Rhinolophus ferrumequinum: one gene and its partner. Each later gene encodes a partner of the first gene's protein in a complex. Links are inferred from orthologs where the notes say so. Each region holds a gene or a part of one and is shown on either strand. Other genes may lie near its edges.

Region 1 (3,749 bases):
CAACCTTTCTGGGGTAGCCAGTTAGCTCAGCAGAGCGTGGTGCTTTTAAAAACAAGGTTGCCGGTTCGGTCCCCACATGGGCCACTGTGAGCGGCACCCTCCACAACTAGATTGAAACAACTACTTGACTTGGAGCTGACGGGTCCTGGAAAAACACACTTAAATAAAAATAAAAGTTAAAAGAAAAATGCAACCTTCCTTTTCAATGCATGCCTGGTCTTCCATCTTTCCTATTAGTTTTCCCAGCTGATTTCAGAGACAGGATGGCTTTTCCTTTACCCTCACAGACATGGAATCTCTTTAATTATGTGCATAGATCGGATGCGTGATTCAATATATTAGTTGCCATTCTTACAATATCTTACTATTTATTTCTCTTTGGTGAATGTTCATTGAGCCAAAGCCTATTGAAATCTGACAATAGATGTTGCTAGATGTTGTGGATGTCTAAGATGAAAAAAGCCCTATTTCTGCATAGGAGGAGCTTACAGTCTAGAAAGCAAAGGCAGCATGCAAACACGTATATTATAAAGAGTCATGGGAAGTGTCACACACTGTGATATGTGAAGCAAAGCGAACTTCCTCTGGGGGAGTTAATAAAAAGTCTCGTAGGAAGTGATATTTCTATTAGACTCGAAACCTAAGTAGGGGGGGTCAGGGGGTGGGGGAGAGTGAGGCTAAGTGAAGAATAGGGCCTGCGAGTAAAGAGGATCGAATGTGCAGAGGCCCTGAAATAACTGAGTTAGATTCTGACATGTTTGGGGCGGTCTGATGGGTTCAGTGCGGTTGGATGTGGGGCGGGTGCATTGACTGGCAGGGATCAAATTGAGAGGGCCCGTGTAGAGAGAATTGAATTTTATTCTAGAAGCAAGAATACTGTTTAAGCAGGAGAGTTTAACAACCAGGTTTCCCTCTTTCACGTCCACTGTCACTGACTAAATTACAGGGACCCTGGGTTTTGGAGACCGAAGGGGTGTGCTCGGTTTGCTTAATCAGAGGTGCTCAGGGCAGCCTCTCAGTTGAGACACTGCCTTTTTTTTTTTTTTTTAAGCTTTAGAAACAGCATGTTTTCAGTATCTCCAGAGCTACTCGGTCCAACCCGTGCCCACATTCACTTACTCTGTTTATTATCCCAACACTCTCCTCCTAATGCTGCCTCTCCTCGGCCACGGTTGGACATATACTGACAGCCTTTGTCTCTTTGAACCCCATTTTTCTGTGTCGACACTTTCTTCAGTTCTGCTGCCCTAGTCTTTTAACGTATTGCTGACGTTTTGGCCCAGGGCATCCCACGTTTTAATCACTCGGACGCCGTCGGCACCAGTAGCCACGCCCACTCCCCACAGCGGCCGAAGCAGGAAGTTTGTCTGCGCCCGCGCGCCGTAGTGACGGTGGCAGCGCGCAGGCGCAGTTGCGGGCTGCCGGCGGCGTGTTCCTCTTTCCGGGGGTTCCCAGCTTCCTGGCCCGAGGACGCCGGCACTTTCCCGGGGGCCTCCCGCCGCGGCTCGCCCCGGGCTCCGGACGCTCTCCAGCTCCCGAAGCCGCTGCTCTGGGTCGCACGCCTCCTCTGGCGACAGACCCATGGCCGAGCGTGGGGACCTGGACCTGACCGGCGCCAAACAGAACACCGGAGTTTGGCTGGTCAAGGTACTGTCCGCGCGACTCCCGCTTGCGCTCCTCCTCGTACTTTATGTTGTCAGTAGTTTCAGCGAGTCGAGACGGTCCCACGCCGGCCGTTCACCTTTTAAAGTTCTCCACGGTCATCTCCTTAGAGCTTCCCGTGTCTTGAGAGGCAGGACTCATTGTTGCGCTCGTTTGCAGACGAGGCAATTAGGGACCCACAGTGTCTGTCCTTCAGCCAATTAGGAGTCCGAACCTGCCGGGAACGGGTCTCCATTCCCCACGACCTGGTTTTCCCGGGGCCCGGTCTCGGTGTCCCCGATTCGCGCGGTGCATTTTACCCCAGACTGAAGAATTTCTGCGTCTTCTCCTGGTGAAACTGGTCATCATCGTGAACCTGTACAGGAAGCGGAGCATGTCTGCTGCTGCTGCCTGTGCCATTTTCTCGGCCAGAAAGGAACACTGATCTCCGCGTACCCTTAAAAAGTGTCCTCTTAGGGTGATGGCCCTTCAGGGAGTTCTCGGGCGAGCGGAGCGTGCTGAGCTCACGCCGCGGGGCCGGAGAGTTCCTTCAGAGCACGACGGGGCTCCTGAAACTGACCGTCAGAACGGTGTTTTGTAAAGACACCAGATCTTGATCAGCCCTTAGCCCAGCTTTACTTTTTCATATTGGGGAGTGTTGTCTCTTAGGAGAGTTTCATAAGATACATAATCAGATGTGATTATGAATCTTTGAACTTAAAGGAAAATGTAGGGACCTTTGGTTAGTTAAATTTTTAAAAACTTTTTTTTTTATCACATGGCTGAATTCTCATGAATTGACTCTGAGGGGCCCTCCCTGTCCACCTCTTTAAAATAGCTCATGTCATTCGCTAGCACGCCAAACCTGTGTTATATAGTCTGCAAAGCGCTTTTCAGTGTGAAGTCCTGCTGTGGTGATGTGTTCAGTGTCGGTTACCTCCCTCTCCCCAGCGCGGGCATGCACAATCACATCCCGTGAGAGTAGGATCTTTGCCTGTCACACCCAGAATTGTGTTTGGCACCTGGTAATTGCTCAACAGATAATGTGATGAATGAAGCATCTCTTACTCTTCAACCCAGCCTTAGTCGCTGGCACTCGTTTGACTTGTCACAGCTATATCAGTATGCCTTAAAAAGATGGAGTAAATGAGCGTTTCTCTCTCCTACTGCATGCTAAGTGGAGGAGAATCATTAAGGAGAACTGCCTTGCAGACTGAAAGAGCTTGAAAATATGGTGGAACTTTGGAACTTGAGGTGATGCACTTATGATTGGAGCACAGTAAACGCTCCATAAATGTTTACCTTCCAGGATTCGGATGGGTGGACAGAGCCATAGCGTAGTGTACCATGGAGAGTGGAACAGAAACGCAAGACTGAAAATGCATGTTAACATGGTGTGTCCTGGGAAACAAAGAGGAGATTATTATGTATTATGCCTAGAGCAGAGAGTCTGCGTAAAAAAGGGGGGACCACATACTCATATTGCTGTATTGTGAAATGGGGCTGTCTTTAGTCTCTAGGAAGTGAGGACCCTTTTGGAGGGTTTTGAATAATGCAGCGGTGCAAATGATTATTTCAGGAAGAAAAAGTTTGAGGGGAATCTAACCAGAGTCAAAATTAGAAAATTATCACAGGATCACTGGTTTGTGATAATGAAGTCTGAGGAGTTAGGGAAATGTTTTTAGTAAGTTGTTAAGACTTGGTGATTGACTAAATGTGAAGGTGAAAGAATGTAATGAATCTCAAATGAAGTTCACAAGTTTTAGTGATCTCTCATGTATGGCTATTTGAATATATTTTATCTCTAAAAAGAACTCAACTGTTCTTGTTTTACAAAGATAGTTGTCATGTTTCGTTATTTATTGTTTGCAATATCATTGTTTCCTGGTATCAACTTGGCTGTAGTATTTCTGTTTCTAATCTTATGTGTCAGAATCACAGGTTTGCAAACCTTTCCAGGGTGTGAAAGGACTTTCTTGTCTGTTCTTGTCCAATGACAGCCTTATCTCTGAAAGAGGACGAGAATTGCTAGCAAATACTTTCTGTTCCAAAATCCATTCTTGTTCCACCTTTATTTGACAACTTTTATTTCTGCTCTAGTTAAAGGA
Region 2 (3,749 bases), on another chromosome or scaffold:
AAATATGACTAAGTTCAAGGAAGAAAATGAAACAAGGCAATACAATAAAGGAATGACTGGGGTGTGGCTACTTGAGTCAGGGTAGTCATGGAAGGCTTCTTGGTGGTGGTGATACTGAGCTTATACCTGAAGGATGAGGAGCCCCCTTCCGCCCCCAGCAGGTGGGTATCAGAGCTAAGAGCATTTTAGGCAGGAGAAATAGTAAGTGTGTAGGTCCTGAGGTGGGAGAGGAGGGCAATGTGGCTGGAGTGGAGAAAGCAAAAGGAAGAGAGGCAGAAAAAGGAGTTGGCTGGATCTGGTCCCTGCCTGGTAGGTCACAGTGATTTTATTCTAGTGCTCTGGGTAGCCATTGGGTTCTAAGTCGGGGGGTGACATGATTTGATTTCAGTTTTGAAACCATCACTCTTGGCAAATATGCACATGAAAAGATGTTCAACGTCATTAGTCATTACGGAAATGAAAACTAAAACCACAATGAGATACTACTACACAGTCATTAGGATAGTTAAATAAACAAAAACAAATAAACAAATGAACAAACTGCTGACAATACCAAGGGCTAGTGAGGATATCAGAGCAACTGGAACTCTTATACCTACATATACAATTATATAATATTTACACCACACAGACAAAATAGGTATAAATAACCTCAAGAGTATTGACAATGGCAAACTGTAGTAAAATGATTAGGAAGTGATCAGTTTTAAGTATTTATTACTAAGAATTCTGACTCCAATTACAAGGTGCTCCCCGCCACCCCCAACCCCTCCATCCAAGCAATTCTGACACCAGCTGGGTGTCCTACAATTTAACTCAATTTTGATACCATCTACCTGGAGTGGTAAATGAATGCACTCTGCTAAAGAGCTTTATTTATGCCACCTTTCATTAATTAATTAATTCCGTTTAAAAGTACTTATTGAGCATGTATTCTGGGCCAGGGACTGTTAATTTAAGAGAGCGGATTTTGATCGCTGGTGGACGGGGTGGAGGGCCGAGCTTCCTGGATTCCCCGCCCACCACAGTGAGGCCCAATCGGGTCCGTGGAAAGGGCGGAGTCCCGCCCTCTTAGCTCCCTCTGGTGGGGAAGCGGGGTTGCAGCGAAAGATTGTGTTTCCGGTTGAGCTGGAGATACCGCTTCCCGCGAAGGTGTGGACTCGGCTGCTCTCCTTCCTTCTCCGGGAAGATGTTCTACCATGTGAGCAGGGCACGGGGTGGCGGCGAGGGCAGGGTCGAGAGAGGACGAAGCGGGGCGCCGGGAAGAGTTGCCGCATCTTCCTGTTGCGCCTTGCCCGGTCTCCATGCCACTTTCCCCACAGATATCCCTGGAGCACGAGATCCTGCTGCACCCGCGCTACTTCGGCCCCAACCTGCTCAACACGGTGAAACAGAAGCTCTTTACGGAGGTAGAGGGGACCTGCACCGGCAAGTGAGTGCCGTGCTCTCTGTTCCACCTGATCTATGCATACAAGGCAACCCCTTCCCAACTCCTACTCATTCTGCAAGGTCCTGCCAATTACTCTGGGGAACCCTCTCACACACTCGTAGGCGCCCCAAGCAGTCTGTTGCTTCCTGTTTTGGGTTCCCATGGCGCCCTCTGCAAAGCTGGATCTCAAGATTTACTTCCCTCAGCTTAGATTGGTCATTCACTTACTCTGCACACGTTTCTAAAGCTCCTGCTGTGTGCCAGGGCCTGTGTTGGGCCCTGGGAACGATATAGAATGAGGCCAGCCGTCATGGAGCCCACAGTCCAATCATTGTTCCTGTGTCTGCTCTGTCTGTGATTCTCCTGGTTTTCTCTATCTCCATGCCCAGGGACTGGCATGACACATCTCTGGGCTACGCACAGAGGTCGCTCACACTGGTGTTAATGAGCTGGGATGAGACCAGGGCTGCAGACTACTTGGGCCGCCATCATCAGAATAACCTGTGGTATCTCTTGAACGTGAAATTTCCTGAGGCTCATCCCCTCCCCGCAGAATCAGGACTCTGGGGACGGGCCTGGGAATCTGCATTTTAATAAGTTCTTCCCAGGTGATTCTGAGGATCTCAAAGACTGAGGTCTCTTAGCTCAAGGACTGCAGCCTTATTGAACATGTATTGTGAAATTAGGAGAGCAGTGTTGGGCGTTATATATACTGATCATCCTGTCTTCCTTCTTGGTCGTTAGGCTCTCTAGCGTCAGGGATGCCATCTGCTTCCTCTTTGTACTGGCCCGCGACCCCCAGGTTCACTGAGTCTTGTTGCAGATGGCTTTATTTATTTATTTACTTATTTTTTATTGGGGAATAGTATGTACTTCCGAGACTTTTCCAAGTCAAGTTGTCCTTTGAATCTTAGTGGTGGAGGGCGCAGCTCACACAGGTCCGGTTGCTGTTGTTAGTTGCAGGGGGCGCAGCCCACCATCCCTTGCGGGAGTCGAGGAGTCAAACCAGTAACCTTGTGGTTGAGAGCCCGCGCTCCAACCACCTGAGCCATCTGGCCACCCGGGAGCTGAGCGGCAGCTCATTGACTTCATTCTAGTTGCGGAGGGCGCAGCTCGCTGGCCCGTGTGGGAATCCAACCGGCTGCCCCGTTGCCCAGAGCTCGCGCTCTAACCAACTGAGCTGCCCTCCCCCCCAGGCTGCCCCTGCAGATGGTTTTAGAAGCTCTTCCACATACAGTCCCTTTTGTTCTCATCCTCCTCACAGGTATGGCTTTGTAATTGCTGTCACCACCATTGACAATATTGGTGCTGGTGTGATCCAGCCAGGCCGAGGTTTTGTCCTTTATCCAGTGAAGTACAAGGCCATTGTTTTCCGGCCCTTTAAGGGGGAAGTCGTGGACGCTGTTGTCACTCAGGTCAACAAGGTGAGACAACAGATAGAGGAGGCAGGGGGGTGATCTCTCAGAAGATGGGGGATAGGTCCCAACTCCACTTGCTAAGTCTATGTCCTTTGGCTAAGTCATTTTTTTGTGCTTCAGTTCCCTCACCTGTCAAAAGGTGTAATAATTTCGCCCTGCCTCACTCAGGGCATGTAAGTCCATATTAATAGTCATAACAATAGTAGCCTCTGTTGATTGAGTAGTTATTGCAGGCCAGGTCATGTATAAAGCCTTACAGCGACTCTATAAGGTGGGTGCTTTTATCCTTTTTTGTAGAAGCTTAAACTGAGAGAAGTTAAGTCTAGTGGCCGGTGTCACATGACCAACAAGTGTTCAAATCCTGGACTGACAGGATTTGACAGGAGTCCCAGGTCTCAGCTCTTTACTACTTCACCATATTTGCTAAACTTAAAATGAAACTTGAAAAATGGGAAATGAAAACAAATGCTATAATTCAGAGTGGTTTCAAACATGGAGAAAATAATTAGAAATCAGATACAGGTGGGAAGCTTAGAAGACTTTGGGTAACAAAAGAAAGAGCAAGGGTCACTCATTTTCCTTCTAGGTTGGACTCTTCACAGAAATTGGACCTATGTCCTGCTTCATCTCTCGACATGTAAGTCTGGGCATTGTGGGTGGGGCCAAGGAGAGACACTCATTCCTGACCATCTACTGGAGCATCCATTTAAAGTGCTGACCCATTATCATTTTCCTTTCAAGTCCATCCCATCAGAGATGGAGTTTGATCCTAACTCCAACCCACCATGTTACAAGACAGTGGATGAGGTGAGTGGGTAGGAAGAAGTCAGTGAGAGGGAGGAGGGAACTAGCTGCTCTGAGGGAGAATATTGGCTGGCGGGTGTCTGAGTATACTGTTCCCA

What was found.
Region 2: GTF2F2 (region 1) and POLR2G share a complex: the UniProt entries of both Homo sapiens proteins name them as parts of the TBP-based Pol II pre-initiation complex. The link is inferred for Rhinolophus ferrumequinum from reciprocal best matches to the Homo sapiens genes GTF2F2 and POLR2G.

What each region holds. Positions count from the first base shown.
Region 1 is NC_046287.1:5,793,935-5,797,683, reverse strand, and holds the start of GTF2F2 (general transcription factor IIF subunit 2), read left to right. Parts: upstream 1-1,406; 5' UTR 1,407-1,581; coding exon 1,582-1,647; intron 1,648-3,749. UniProt on the Homo sapiens protein: TFIIF is a general transcription initiation factor that binds to RNA polymerase II and helps to recruit it to the initiation complex in collaboration with TFIIB.
Region 2 is NC_046294.1:8,066,459-8,070,207, reverse strand, and holds the start of POLR2G (DNA-directed RNA polymerase II subunit RPB7), read left to right. Parts: upstream 1-1,064; 5' UTR 1,065-1,189; coding exon 1,190-1,201; intron 1,202-1,322; coding exon 1,323-1,432; intron 1,433-2,693; coding exon 2,694-2,853; intron 2,854-3,433; coding exon 3,434-3,484; intron 3,485-3,588; coding exon 3,589-3,654; intron 3,655-3,749. UniProt on the Homo sapiens protein: Core component of RNA polymerase II (Pol II), a DNA-dependent RNA polymerase which synthesizes mRNA precursors and many functional non-coding RNAs using the four ribonucleoside triphosphates as substrates.